Linked DNA regions of Ovis aries. The protein of the gene in region 3 interacts with the protein of the main gene of each other region in a pairwise test. Links are inferred from orthologs where the notes say so. Each region holds a gene or a part of one and is shown on either strand. Other genes may lie near its edges.

Region 1 (3,740 bases), on a different chromosome or scaffold from region 3:
GTCGAGGGCTTCTCTGGCCCACCTCTGTGACCGCCCTGTGCCCTTCCCTTGGCCTAGGCCCCTTCACGACCCAGGAGATGGCGGAGTGGTTCCAGGCGGGCTACTTCTCCATGGCTCTGCTGGTGAAGCGGGGCTGTGATGAGGGCTTCCAGCCTCTGGGTGAGGTGATCAAGATGTGGGGTCGCGTACCCTTCGCCCCCGGGCCCTCACCTCCCCCGCTGCTGGTGAGTGTACCCGCTTTGGCGTGGAACAGGGAAGGGAGGCAGGAGCCCGGCAGAGGGAAGCGGTGGGTGCAGAGCCAGACGGGGGCAAAGCCACGGGGACGCTGTGGCCTCACTCAGGGGAACATGGACCAGGAGCGGCTGAAGAAGCAACAGGAGCTGGCAGCAGCCGCCTTGTACCAGCAGCTGCAGCACCAGCAGTTTCTTCAGCTGGCCGGCAGGTACGGGGGGCTTAGCAGGGCTGGTCAGCAGGGCCCATGCTGACGTGGGCAGGCCCACCTCTCACCTGCTCGCTCCTCAGCAGCCGCCAGCTCCCGCAGTGCATGCTCCGGGAAAAGGCAGCTCTGGGAGACCTGCCGCCACCACAGCAGCAGCAGCTCACCGCGTTCCTGCAGCAGCTCCAAGCTCTCAAACCCCCCAGGTGTGTGGGCCGCCGTCCTCGCTGTGTGCCCGTGGCCAAGCGTGTGTGGCGTGTCTGTACGTGATGGCCCTCGGGTGGTGTGGGTAGAGGGGCAGACAGGAGGTGGCTTCAGGGCGCTGAGCTTCGGTGCTTTCTCCTCAGGGGCGGGGACCAGAACTTGCTCCCGACGATGAACCGGTCCTTGTCGGTGCCAGACTCGGGTCCCCTCTGGGACATACATACCTCAGCCTCACCACAGTCAGGTGTGTGGCCCGCAGCTGCCCTCCTGGCCTGTCCTAGGTCTGGGAGTCCCCTCCACCCCCGACGGCCTCCAGTGGGTTGGGGGGCCGGGGGCTGGAGCTCCCCTCTGCAGCTGCCTTTGCCCCCGCAGGTGGTGAGGCCAGTCTTTGGGACATACCAATTAACTCTTCGACTCAGGGTCCAATTCTAGAACAACTCCAGCTGCAACACAAAGTGAGTGGGCCTCGGGCTGGCGTTCTTGGGTGTCAGGGGCCAGGCCACAGCTGGGACGGCCTGGCATCTGATCTTGACCCTCCAGTTCCAGGAGCGCAGAGAAGTGGAGCTCAGGGCGAAGCGGGAGGAGGAGGAGCGCAAGCGCCGGGAGGAGAAGCGCCGCCAGCAGCAGCAGCAGCAGGAGGAGCAGAAGCGGCGGCAGGAGGAAGAGGAGCTGTTCCGGCGCAAGCAGGTGGGGCCCGGCCTACGCAGGCTCGGGGTGAGGGTCAGGGGGCGGCCCTCACAGCGGCTTCTCTCCCTAGGTGCGGCAGCAGGAGCTGCTGCTGAAGCTGCTGCAGCAGCAGCAGGCAGTAGCCACTGTCCCCGTGCCTCCTGCGCCCAGCTCCCCGCCCCCGCTGTGGGCCGGCCTGGCCAAGCAGGGCCTGTCCATGAAGACGCTGCTGGAGCTGCAGCTGGAGGGCGAGCGGCACCTGCACAAGCAGCCTCCGCCTCGGGAGCCATCGCGGGCTCAGGCCCCCAACCACCGCGTGGTGAGCAGGCTTGCAGGCACCTTCTGCTCAGCTCCCAGGGTGACCGGGGTGGGGGGAGGTGGGGGGGCGGCGCACTAGTCCCTGTCGGACTCCGGAGGCGCTCTCTGCTGTGAGGCCCTCACCTCACCCTGCCTTTGCCACCTGAACGCAGCTCCCCGCTCAGCACCCCTGAGCATGCGCTCTCCTGTGTGGGTCACCCTTGCCTTCCTGCCGTCTGCAGCAGGTCGGGGGCCTGGGCTCCGCCCCCCTGAACCAGTGGGTATCTGAGGCCGGGCCACTGTGGGGCGGGCCCGACAAGAGTGGGGGCAGCAGCGGCCTGGGACTCTGGGAAGACACCCTCAAGAGCAGCGGGAGCCTGGCCCGGAGCCTGGGCCTGAAGAACAGCCGCAGCAGCCCCTCTCTCAGGTGGGTGCCGGGCCACAGGAGGATGGGGAGCGGGCCTCCTGAGGGGACACCTCCTGACTCACCCCATCCCGCGCAGTGACTCGTACAGCCACTTGTCTGGTCGGCCTGTGCGCAAAAAGACAGAGGAGGAAGAGAAGCTGCTGAAGCTGCTGCAGGGCATCCCCCGGCCCCAGGATGGCTTCACCCAGTGGTGTGAGCAGATGCTGCACACGCTGAGCACCACGGGCAGCCTGGACGGTATAGGCGTCACACCTACCCCAGGAGGCTGGGCCAGGGGTTCCAGACGCCATCCCGTGGGTCCTGACCCCCATCCTGCCCCGCAGTGCCCATGGCTGTAGCGATCCTCAAGGAGGTGGAATCCCCCTATGACGTCCACGACTATATCCGTTCCTGCCTGGGGGACACGCTGGAAGCCAAAGAATTTGCCAAACAATTCCTGGAGCGGAGGGCCAAGCAGAAGGCCAGCCAGCAGCGGCAGCAGCAGCAGGTGCGGCTTCACAGAGCCCTGGCTGGAGCGGGTGAGGGCGCCCCGAGTCCCCTGACCCCTCTCTTTCCTCTCTGTTGCCTTGCAGGAGGCTTGGCTGAGCAGCGGCTCCCTGCAGACAGCCTTTCAGACCAACCACAGCACCAAGCTCGGCCCCGGGGAGGGCAGCAAGGCCAAGAGGCGGGCGCTGATGCTGCACTCGGACCCCAGCATCTTGGGTGAGTGTGGAGCGGGGAGGTGGCTCCTTCCTCAGAACCGGGCAGGAGCCTGGGTGGGCGAGTTCAAACCCAGCTTCCCCTGGCTTCAGGGTACTCCCTGCATGGACCTTCTGGTGAGATCGAGAGCGTGGATGACTACTGACCAGCCCGTCCCACCAGCGCCCTGGGCTGTAGGCCAGGGGCAGCAGCAGCGGCTTGGACCCCTGGGTCCCCAGCCTGCAGGCTCCCCACAGGGAGCATAGGAGGAAGCAGGGGCAGGGTCCCCAGCACTTGTTACAAACCACACGATGCACCTTAACTCACCCACCACGAGGCACTTTACAGATTGAGGGGGGAAGGGTTTTGTTTTTGTTTTTTTGGTTTTAGTTTTAAACGACATTGAAGGAAACATAGGAGAGACAAAAAAAATGGTTAAAAAGTAGACTCTAAGCACTCCCTTTCCCTTTGTCGGATAGTGGGAGTGATAATGGAAGATCCACAGAGGTGTTTTTTTTTTTTTTTTTTTAAGAAAAAAGAAAAACAAACAAAAAAAATGGTTAGGAGACTGAAAGTAAAAACACACTGTTATTTGGGGCAGTGGGGACATGGGCCCCACGGACCTGTCCTGCTTGGCCCCCGAGGCTGCACTTACCCTCCCCGCCCCACAAGGTGGGCCACTGGGGTAACTGGAAGCTGGGGCGCCAGCAGTTTGCACAGCGAGGCCCCCTCAAGCCCCGCCAGCCGGACCCGCTGTGAACGGCCCCCTTGTGCTGTGACTGTGGCAGAGGTGTCTGGGGCCGGGGGGCCTGGCCCGAGTAGCCCCTTGGCTTTGCTGCTTCGGGGAAAGTTGCACAAATGCGCGAGGCCGCCTCAGCGCCCCAGGCAGCCACCCTGCGCCGGCTGACGGAGTGAATGGGAGAGGGCCTGCGGTGCCAACCTCATCTGGCTGTCATCAGGCCGGCAGAACTTCCACTCTGGCCCTGGTGAGGGGCTTCCCCCGCCGCTGCCATTCGGGGGGCCGGCCTGGGT
Region 2 (4,550 bases), on a different chromosome or scaffold from region 3:
TCAGAGCCTGTTCTGAATCTTGACTGTATCAGTGTCAATATCCTGGGTGTGATATTGTTAAAGTTTTGCAAGAGGTTACCACTGGGGTAAACTGGGTAAATGGTACATAGACTCCCTGTATTATTTCTCACAACTGTTTGTAAAGCTATAATTATCCCAAAATAAATATAATTAAAATACATACCTATATATGTTTTAATTAAAACATTCTACAGGCATGCAAATTCAGATAATCAAAAAATATACACAGTGCCATGCAGTGATAGATACTATAAGGAAGAATAAAGCAGGGGAGGGGGACTGAGGATAGAAAAGAAATTATGATGTTAAAGAGAGGTAACAGTCAACAATGAAATTCAGGTTACAAGCAAAAACTTCAAAATGCAGAAATGAAAAATCAGCAGATATTCTTCACAACACACTCTCCGCATTCTAACCTAACTTACATACCATACACATACTTTAAGCAATTAGTTTAAAATATGGTACCCTTTTCAAATATTTTAAATATTTCTTTTGTCATTTATGATATCAACTCCATTTCAGTGAAACATTCAAACAAGCTTTTCCAAGATGATTGCCATCATCTTTTTTAATAAGGTGCCTAAAATACAGTGAATGTATGAAACTCAACTGCCCAGTCAATAGCTGGCATGCCAGAAATGAGGGAGTCTTAAGTATACTGACTATTCCCCGCCCCATCATATTAGTGATCACAATCTGCCTTGTATTCAAATTATTTTCACTGGACTCCCTCCCATCATTGAAATGTAAAGTACTAAGGAGGGAACCTATTAATGAAACATCTATACAAAAGAAGAAAGCCTGTAGCGCTGACTTTTGTTCTACAATTACACAAATTAATGTTAAATAACCACCATGCTTTTGAACTGTGGTGTTGGAAAAGACCCTTGAGAGTCCCTTGGACTGCAAGGAGATCCAACCAGTCCATCCTAAAGGAGATCAGTCCTGAATATTCACTGGAAGGACTGATGCTGGGAAAGACTGAAGGCAGGAGGAGAAGGGGATGACAGAGGATGAGATGGCTGGATGGCATCACCAACTCAATGGACTTGAGTTTGAGCAAGCTCCGGGAGTTGGTGATGGACAGGGAAGCCTGGCATGCTGCAGTCCACAGGGTCGCAAAGAGTTGGACACGACTGAGTGACTGAACGACTGAATCACCATCTTAGAGAATCTGGAGGTAATGGCATACTTCTCTACTTAGAGGAGAATGGAACAACCTACCTTGAATCTCTCCCTGAGGATCTTTGTAATACCACTTCTGCATTGCTTCATGCATCAGTGGAATTGAGAGTCCCTTAGCTCTGTGTTCTTGCAACTTTGATGCCAGTCTCTCATCATCTAGTGCACTGTCTTGGAGATAAGCCACCATTTTCTCAGCTTGCTAAGAGAAAAAATTAAAAAATGAACTGTGGAAACAAATGATCCTAAATTAATACTTGTACACACAACTGTCTGTCTCTTTTGGACTACCTGATCTGTGAGAGGCACTGTGCAAAGGACACAGCAGGCAACAATTCATCCATCCAATAATGCCATGAAATAGGTACGATCCTCATTTCACAAAGGGGGAAACTTTGTGAACTAAGGCAGGTTCAGGGGGATCAAGTCTTGCTTAAGGTTTCAAAATTATCAAGAAAACTCAAATGAGACTAAAACTGGAACAGATCAAAATCTAAGCATCTTATCAACACACTTAAGAGTGCCATTTAAACAAATAATCCTAAATTATACAAACTAAATCTGCAAAAACATGTGCTAATAGATCAAAAAGCTCAATTATAATACATTACAAATAAAATCTTTTACAAGTTTTTATTCCTTTCTGCAATACTTCCTGCCACCAACTACTGTACCCTGAAGGAAAGAGAATTTCCTCTGTAGAAAGCAAGCTATCATTTACCTTACATATAAGCAGCAGTATATAAAAACGTTAGGGAACTCTAGAGACATCAGTATGATGGTATTTCTGTTTTCCCTGTTACACTTCAGGCGAAAAATATAGACGATACAGTGCCTATCCACAGCTGCTTGTATTTGCCATTTCTGGCATTCCATTAATTTCCAAAAAGAAAAAAGAAAAGGAAACAGCTCAGGGCAACCTCAGAAGAGCAAAAAATAACCTGACTTAATGACTACTACATAGCAGAAACTTAAAAGCATGAAATGACTTGAAAGACAATTACTCATACAAATAAATACTAGATGTAAAAACAAGTTTTTCAGTACACAAAATCTAGTGCACAAAAGTTCCATTTCTGAATATTCATTTAATGCTTTTCAATTTTTATGGCAGTTCTCGAGGAAAGAAAGAATTATGTGACTTGTACCTGCTCCAAGTGTTTGAGACCCTCTTCATCATCTGGCTCTGTGGGAACACTGCCCATTCCAGGAGCACCAACGACTGGCGTCTCCACTGGCCGGAGGGCAGGACTAGGGCTGGGGACAGGAGGAGGGAGGATGAGGAGCGGAGAGGCTGTATCTGCAGGAATCTGCGACAGGGGCTGCTGGACATCAGGAACCACTTCTAGAGAAAAAAAATGTAGACAGATGAAAATCCTCTAAAAGAGACTCTTGGAAAGAATAACAAGCATCAAGTTGAGCAGCTTGCTAAATGGGCTCAACAGATTTGTGAACCATGTCATGAATACTGCTGCTACTTCTTATGGAGAAGTGTGTATTCCTCCCCAGAATGATGAATTACCTCCATAGGGTGACAACAAGTAAGATTAAAACGTACCCAGAAAGGGCTTCTGCAATGCCATACTGTGTCACTAGAGTATCTACCCAATAGTTACAGGTCTACCTCTTGAAAACAAACAGAATTAGTCCAATCCCTTCTTTACATCATGTCTCTGAGCTGTAAAGACAGTAAACAGCACTGCATCTCCTCAAAGACACCATATCTCAGCATGTGAAAGAGAAAGTCGCTCAGTCGTGTCCAATTCTTAATGACTCCTTGGACTATACAGTCCACGGAGTTCTCCAGGCCAGAATACTGGAGTGGAGCCTTTCCCTTCTCTAGGGGATCTTCCCAACCCAGGGATGGAAACCAGGTCTCCCACATTGCAGGCGGGTTCTTTACCAGCTGAGCTACAACGGAAGCATAAAAACCTTTATTAAAAACATCTGCAATTACTTTGAATAATTACCTATTTCGACTTATAATGACCATAATTCAACACATTCTGCAGGGTAACAAAAAGTTCACTGGGTCTACCCGTACAGAGCAGGAGGTTCTTCACAATAAGAGTAAAGACTACAAAAGAGGTTCTGTCTTGGTTCCTATTTCTAACCTCTCAGTACTCAGGCTCTTGAGGAGGAAAGGGGGATGGAAGTAATTAGATACAACAGTAGTTTCCTCTTTGAAATCTTGTTTGTTCAATTACAACAAGCTTCTCCAAATTCTTTGACAGACTTCTTAAAAGGACAGTGTGACGTCTATACAACTTTCTCTACTTCACCACCACCCATACCAGCTATAAGGTAACTTCCACTTCCAACAGCCGAAAGCTTCTCTCCCAAAGATAAGCATTCACCCAAAGTGTTCAAACACAATGGTTTTTCCTAGTCCCCATCACTGAACCTTAGGTCTGACATTATCTTCCCAATTCTAAACTGGAACGTTCTCCTTCCTTCCTTTTCCTGCACTCTTCTTCTTGCCGTGCCAAGATTTTTCTCTGGCTCCTCTATCTACCCTCTAAAAATAGGGATTACCCAGGTACTGTTCTCAGTCCACTTCTTCTCACTCCTAACAGTGCATGTAATCTTTTAAATGTTCATTCTCTCTGTGGCCCAGAACTCGTCCCATTGAGCTACAGTCCCCTCACTCTCAACTGCTCTCTGGCCATCTCTACTGAATTTCTCACCAACACCTCAGACTCCATGTTCATAGCCTGAATTTGTTGTCTCCCCTCCCAAATGTGCTCCTCAAAACTTCCACTCTTTTTCTATTAAGGATACCCTAGATAGCATATTCAAAAGCAGAGACATTACTTTGCCGACTAAGGTCCATCTAGTCAAGGCTATGGTTTTTCCAGTAGTCATGTATGGATCTAAGAGTTGGACTGTGAAGAAAGCTGAGGGCCGAAGAATTGATGCTTTTGAACCGTGGTGTTGGAGAAGACTCTTGAGAGTCCCTTGGACTGCAAGGAGATCCAAACAGTCCATTCTGAAGGAGATCAGCCCTGGGAGTTCTTTGAAAGGAATGATGCTAAAGCTGAAACTCCAGTACTTTGGCCACCTCATGCGAAGAGTTGACTCACTGGAGAAGACTTTGATGCTGGGAGGGATTGGGGGCAGGAGGAGAAGGGGACGACAGAGGATGAGATGGCTGGATGGCATCACTGACTTGATGGACGTGAATCTGAGTGAACTCCGGGAGTTGGTGATGGACAGGGAGGCCTGCCGTGCTGCGATTCATGGGGTTGCAAAGAGTTGGACACGACTGAGCGACTGAACTGAACGGAAATCCTCTCACACACCTCATTCATCTTTGACTCTTCCTTCCTCCTTGCCCTAATAAA
Region 3 (4,550 bases):
CCCAGCTCTTCAGGCCCCAGTGCGGCTAGCCACCCAACCTGCACCAACTGTGAACAGGGCATACAGCTTCGCTGCTTTAAGCCACTGAGGTTTGGGGTAGTTGGGGCAAAAGTCAAAGATACAATGCATAAAGTAAAAGGTATAGGCAAAAAGCCACCTTTCCATTCGCCTACTGCCTTATTAATTAGAGTGTGTTCTTTGGCTGTTCCAACCGCATCAAATAGGTGGAGGAGGATTATGGGGTCTGGACAAACGGACTGCCATTCTGTCCACTTCCTAGCCATGCAAATCCTGCACCACCTTCATACTCCTGAGCCTCCCCCCCCCCCCCCCCCCCCCACACACACACACGGGAAGATGCTCTGAGGAGCTGAGCCCAGCAGACTCCCGCCCGGGACGCGTCCCTTACCCATCCACGAGCCCTTGCTGTTTAATGATCCGGTGCGACTCTTCCCTGGAGATCCTGCCGTGAAACCAGTGCTGCGTCCTGTGAATCACTGTGGGGACCAGAGAAGGAGGGTAGGCCGGGCTCCGTGCACGGCCGCTGCCTTGCTAAGCACGCTCGGGCCACACGGGGCCCCGACTCCTGCGGTCCCAGCTTGCGTGCGCTGCACGCCAGGCCCGCCGTGAGGTTTGGGGAGGGCTGGGGGCGCTTTTATGTTATTTATGTACAACAATATCAAGCCAACATGCCGTGTTTACCTGTACTGAGGGCGGAAGGGTGGAGGGGGCTTTGGCTACCTAGGATATTCATCCGCGTGCTTCGTTTCTGCAAAAGAAATCCCCGCGTCAGCGCCAAGTAAGCCGCGAACACAATCACCGCGCCACCTGGGACACACCGCGGCAGGAAGCTGGCCCGGTGAAAGGCCCTTGATGGCGGGACGACAGCCGCCCAGTCCCATGTGGTCACAAGGACCCCTCCCGTGTGAGCAGGAGGGCAGACAGCTATGGGTCGCAGTTGTTAAAAGCAAAACCAGAAGCATCCCACCCCAGCATATTGCTAAGGATCCCAGTACTGAAGCCGGGCTGCGCCCGTCACACTGAAGACACGCAGTACAGTGCCCGACACACCTTAGGAGAAAACCATGAGCTCCCACAGGGGACTCAGGCCTGTGGCTTTGGGCACATTCTCCTTTTCCAAACGGGGAGGCTCTCTGAGCCAGAGTTGCCTTGAAAGCTCAGAAAAGCTTGGAAGTTGAGCGAAATTCTTCCATCTGGAGATTTGGAACTTGAGTCTCAGAGTAAAGAGACTGTTCAAGGGTGGGAGGTTGGTCAGCGGTTGAGCTGCGATGGGAACGCCTGGCCCAGCGCTTTCCCCAGAGGCCCTGAGGATACATCAGCAGGGACAGGGCTGCGGGCCACGGGGCCTCAGGGCTCTGCTCCTGCCCCTCCTTCCATGGGAGCCCAGGGACGGCCCGTGGGGGTGGCCAGGTGCCGGGGGCGTGGAGGAGCCCAGGCAAGCCACAGCCTCCTGCAGGCGAGAACTCACAGCCACCCCTCCTCCCTCGCACCGCATCCCTGCCGCCAGCACAGGGCCATTTCTCTGGGGCAGACCAGGGGTGGGGCCGGGCCACAGCCTTACCCTCCAGGCGTGGCCTTCTTCCAGGGCTGCGCTCTGGGCCTCAGCTGGATTCTCGATTACTCTTCCCGTTTGCCCAGAGAAATCCATTGCCACAAGGGAGTTCTCAGAGACGCTGCGCTGCAAAGGAGAGGCCGTGGATTCTTGAGATGCAGAGAAGCAAGCGGAGCAGCAGGTGGGAACCGCCGCGTGGGAGAGCTGTGCAGACCCAGGGAGGGGCAGCAAAGGGACAGGCAAGGACACCCCCGCCAAGAATCGGACAGAACACTCAGTGTCTGAAGGGCCCTGGGATGAAAAATGGCTTTGGTTTTTCTCAAGAAGAGGAAAGAAACCTTCCAATTCTCTGAAGATATTTGGAAGCTGCTGGTGAGGCCACTGGTGTCCACCCGTGGGGTCGTCCACAGGGTCTCTAATGTGAATTAAAAGGAGAGCACAGTTCTTGAGGACCTAGCCTGCTGTGGTCCCCCTTTGCCTGGCAAAGTAATAAAGTCATTCTTTCCTTCTCCTCCATTACAAAAAACCCCACAAAAACTCATCCAAGAAATGCTAACATCAAAGGCGAGCAAGCCCTCACCAGCAGCCAAATCCCTTCTCAGGTAAGTTAGTTCACAGAAACACGGGCACCGCTTCTGTGGGTACTTTGACATCTCTGAGGAATGGACATCCAGAGATTGTTAACTCATTATCAACTGGGGGATTTCTGCAGAAACTAACACCTGTGGTTGGTGAAGATTTTTATTTTGGCTGGCTAAAACATTAATTCTGTTATTTCACTAACATTTTGCAGGTTGTCACATTCAACAGTTACCCTTGTAAAGTTTTCTCCAGCACCATGAGCTTCATTTTCACTTTCTGCTTCAGAATCAATCACTAAGGTTTTCTGTCTTTTTGTTGGTCTGATATTCACAGTCGGAAGCAGAACTATATTCTGAAGAACTATCGTCTTCTGAGACACTAACATATATGTCATTCAGACACTCAGAGAAAATATCTGCATAAAATTCACCAAAAAAATTTTTCACTCAAAATTTCTCGATGCGTCATTTTTGAAAATTTCACATTTATAATATGCACAAGGTGCTACAAAAACCTAATGGAGCAAAACACGAGTGATAACAATAATCCAAACTGTATCATGACCCTTTGACCAATTTTAAGATCTAACAACTTCGCACAGTGATGTTAATTCGATCACTTTCTAAAAATGTATTGACACTCCTGGCCAATAAACATTTGGATAACAAAAGATGTGTTGATACATCGCCCAGTCAATAATGTGTTAAGATCGTATTTGGGAAGGATGAAGTGTTTCTACACCTCTGGGACATAAAGTCCATCCTGAGATCCCAGGAAGACTCACTACAATCTCAGTTTTCACAAGGACTCAAGAATCATGGTCAACAGCACCATGGACCCACAGCTGAAATGGACAGAAGTGAAGGCGGTGAATGAAGGCAGCTCCTCAGTAGACGTGGGCGCTGCTGTCAACATTTCTGAACACTGGAATGGAGCTCTCAGTGGGAGCCATTCACCAAAGCAACACTGCAGGGAGATGTGGGAAAGGGGAGAGGGTAGACAGGGATCTGCTCCCAGCAGTCACACTGCAGACGACAAAGCCCATCTCCTGGGAAATGCACGCTGGTAGGATATTCTGGCTCCTCCGGGCAGCCTCATCTGAGAAAAGATGCCCACAGCCCGTGCTGATGCAGCAGCTGAACAGCAATGTGGCTTCAGAGGCGCAGCTTGACTTACCACTGGAGTCGAGAAGGAGGACAGCATGGCTTTCCTCTGCTGTGGGATCCTGTAGTTCTGGTAAAGGAGCATCCCATACTGAAGAGGTAAGGAGGGCCAGAGTCAGTCACCAGGGCATCCGGAGCCCTAAAGCCCCACACGGGGCAAACCCTTGGCACTCAAGAGCCACACTCATACAGAATAATGGGCGACAATTGGGTGAACTTAAGAATAAACACCCAACAGAGCCCTGTCTCTGGGCCTGCCACCACCAATGCTCCACAGTCAGTTACCACTATCTGTCTGGGGGGGCTGGGTGGGCAGGAAGTGGTCAAAGAAGTAACAACATAATAAGGACTAGCAAGAACAATTAGCCTTACTAAATGTTGCTATGGGCAAAGCTCTGAGTGCTTTATGCTGCTCTTTTATTTAATCCTCTCCATTTTATGAAATATGTACTTTATCCTCATTTCACAAACAAGAGAACACAGCAAGTGAAGCAAGTTGCTCAAGGTCATGGTAAAGTAAGGATTCAGGTTCTGAATGTACAATCCTGCTTCCAAACCAGTGCTCTTCTTAACCACCAGCCTCCCTGCCCAACCAGCTCAGCAGTTTGGGCTTTATTTCCTCAGTCAATAAGCACTGAGCATCCTGCAAAGCCTCCTACACTCCTGACGTTTCAACCTGCACTCCTCAGTTACACCTTCAAACCACAGAGAGAAGAAAAAAGGAAGAGGAAAGAGGAATCCAGCGGGCTGCATCTTCCTCTTCACTGTTCTTCACGGATGGGAGCTCATTTCCAGCTCAAGGACCAGCAGTAAGTACTCACTTCTGAAGCTAACATATTTGGAACATGATGAAAATGTCTACCATAGATACAGTCACACCCCAGTGAGACAGGAGGAGAGAGAACAGATCAAAACAAACATTTGAGATGTGGTTCAGTCACTAAGTCATGTCCAACTTAGTGACTCCCAGGCTCCTGTCCTCCACTCTCTCCTGGAGTTTGCGCAAATTCATGTCCATTGAGTTGGTGATGCTATATAACCATTGCACCTTCTGCCACCCACTTCTCCTTTTGCCTTCAATCTTTCCCAGCATCATGGTCTTTTCTAATGAGTTGATTCTTTGCATCAGGTGGCCAAAGAATTGGAGCTTCAGCATCAGTCCTTCCGATGAATATTCAGGGTTGATTTCTTTTAGGATTACCTTGTTTGATCTCCTTGGATCACAGTCTTGT

What was found.
Region 1: the proteins of GRB10 (region 3) and GIGYF1 interact in a two-hybrid assay, tested with the Homo sapiens proteins (2 studies listed by BioGRID). The link is inferred for Ovis aries from reciprocal best matches to the Homo sapiens genes GRB10 and GIGYF1.
Region 2: the proteins of GRB10 (region 3) and GIGYF2 interact in a two-hybrid assay, tested with the Homo sapiens proteins (2 studies listed by BioGRID). The link is inferred for Ovis aries from reciprocal best matches to the Homo sapiens genes GRB10 and GIGYF2.

What each region holds. Positions count from the first base shown.
Region 1 is NC_056077.1:36,335,979-36,339,718, forward strand, and holds part of GIGYF1 (GRB10-interacting GYF protein 1), read left to right. Parts: intron 1-57; coding exon 58-442; intron 443-522; coding exon 523-642; intron 643-783; coding exon 784-884; intron 885-1,012; coding exon 1,013-1,095; intron 1,096-1,180; coding exon 1,181-1,327; intron 1,328-1,397; coding exon 1,398-1,625; intron 1,626-1,845; coding exon 1,846-2,030; intron 2,031-2,106; coding exon 2,107-2,267; intron 2,268-2,353; coding exon 2,354-2,517; intron 2,518-2,602; coding exon 2,603-2,974; 3' UTR 2,975-3,740. UniProt on the Homo sapiens protein: May act cooperatively with GRB10 to regulate tyrosine kinase receptor signaling. May increase IGF1 receptor phosphorylation under IGF1 stimulation as well as phosphorylation of IRS1 and SHC1.
Region 2 is NC_056054.1:8,171,008-8,175,557, forward strand, and holds part of GIGYF2 (GRB10-interacting GYF protein 2), read right to left. Parts: intron 2,552-4,550; coding exon 2,355-2,551; intron 1,409-2,354; coding exon 1,249-1,408; intron 1-1,248. UniProt on the Homo sapiens protein: Key component of the 4EHP-GYF2 complex, a multiprotein complex that acts as a repressor of translation initiation. In the 4EHP-GYF2 complex, acts as a factor that bridges EIF4E2 to ZFP36/TTP, linking translation repression with mRNA decay.
Region 3 is NC_056057.1:6,103,910-6,108,459, reverse strand, and holds part of GRB10 (growth factor receptor-bound protein 10), read right to left. Parts: intron 3,410-4,550; coding exon 3,332-3,409; intron 1,700-3,331; coding exon 1,583-1,699; intron 770-1,582; coding exon 703-769; intron 498-702; coding exon 410-497; intron 1-409.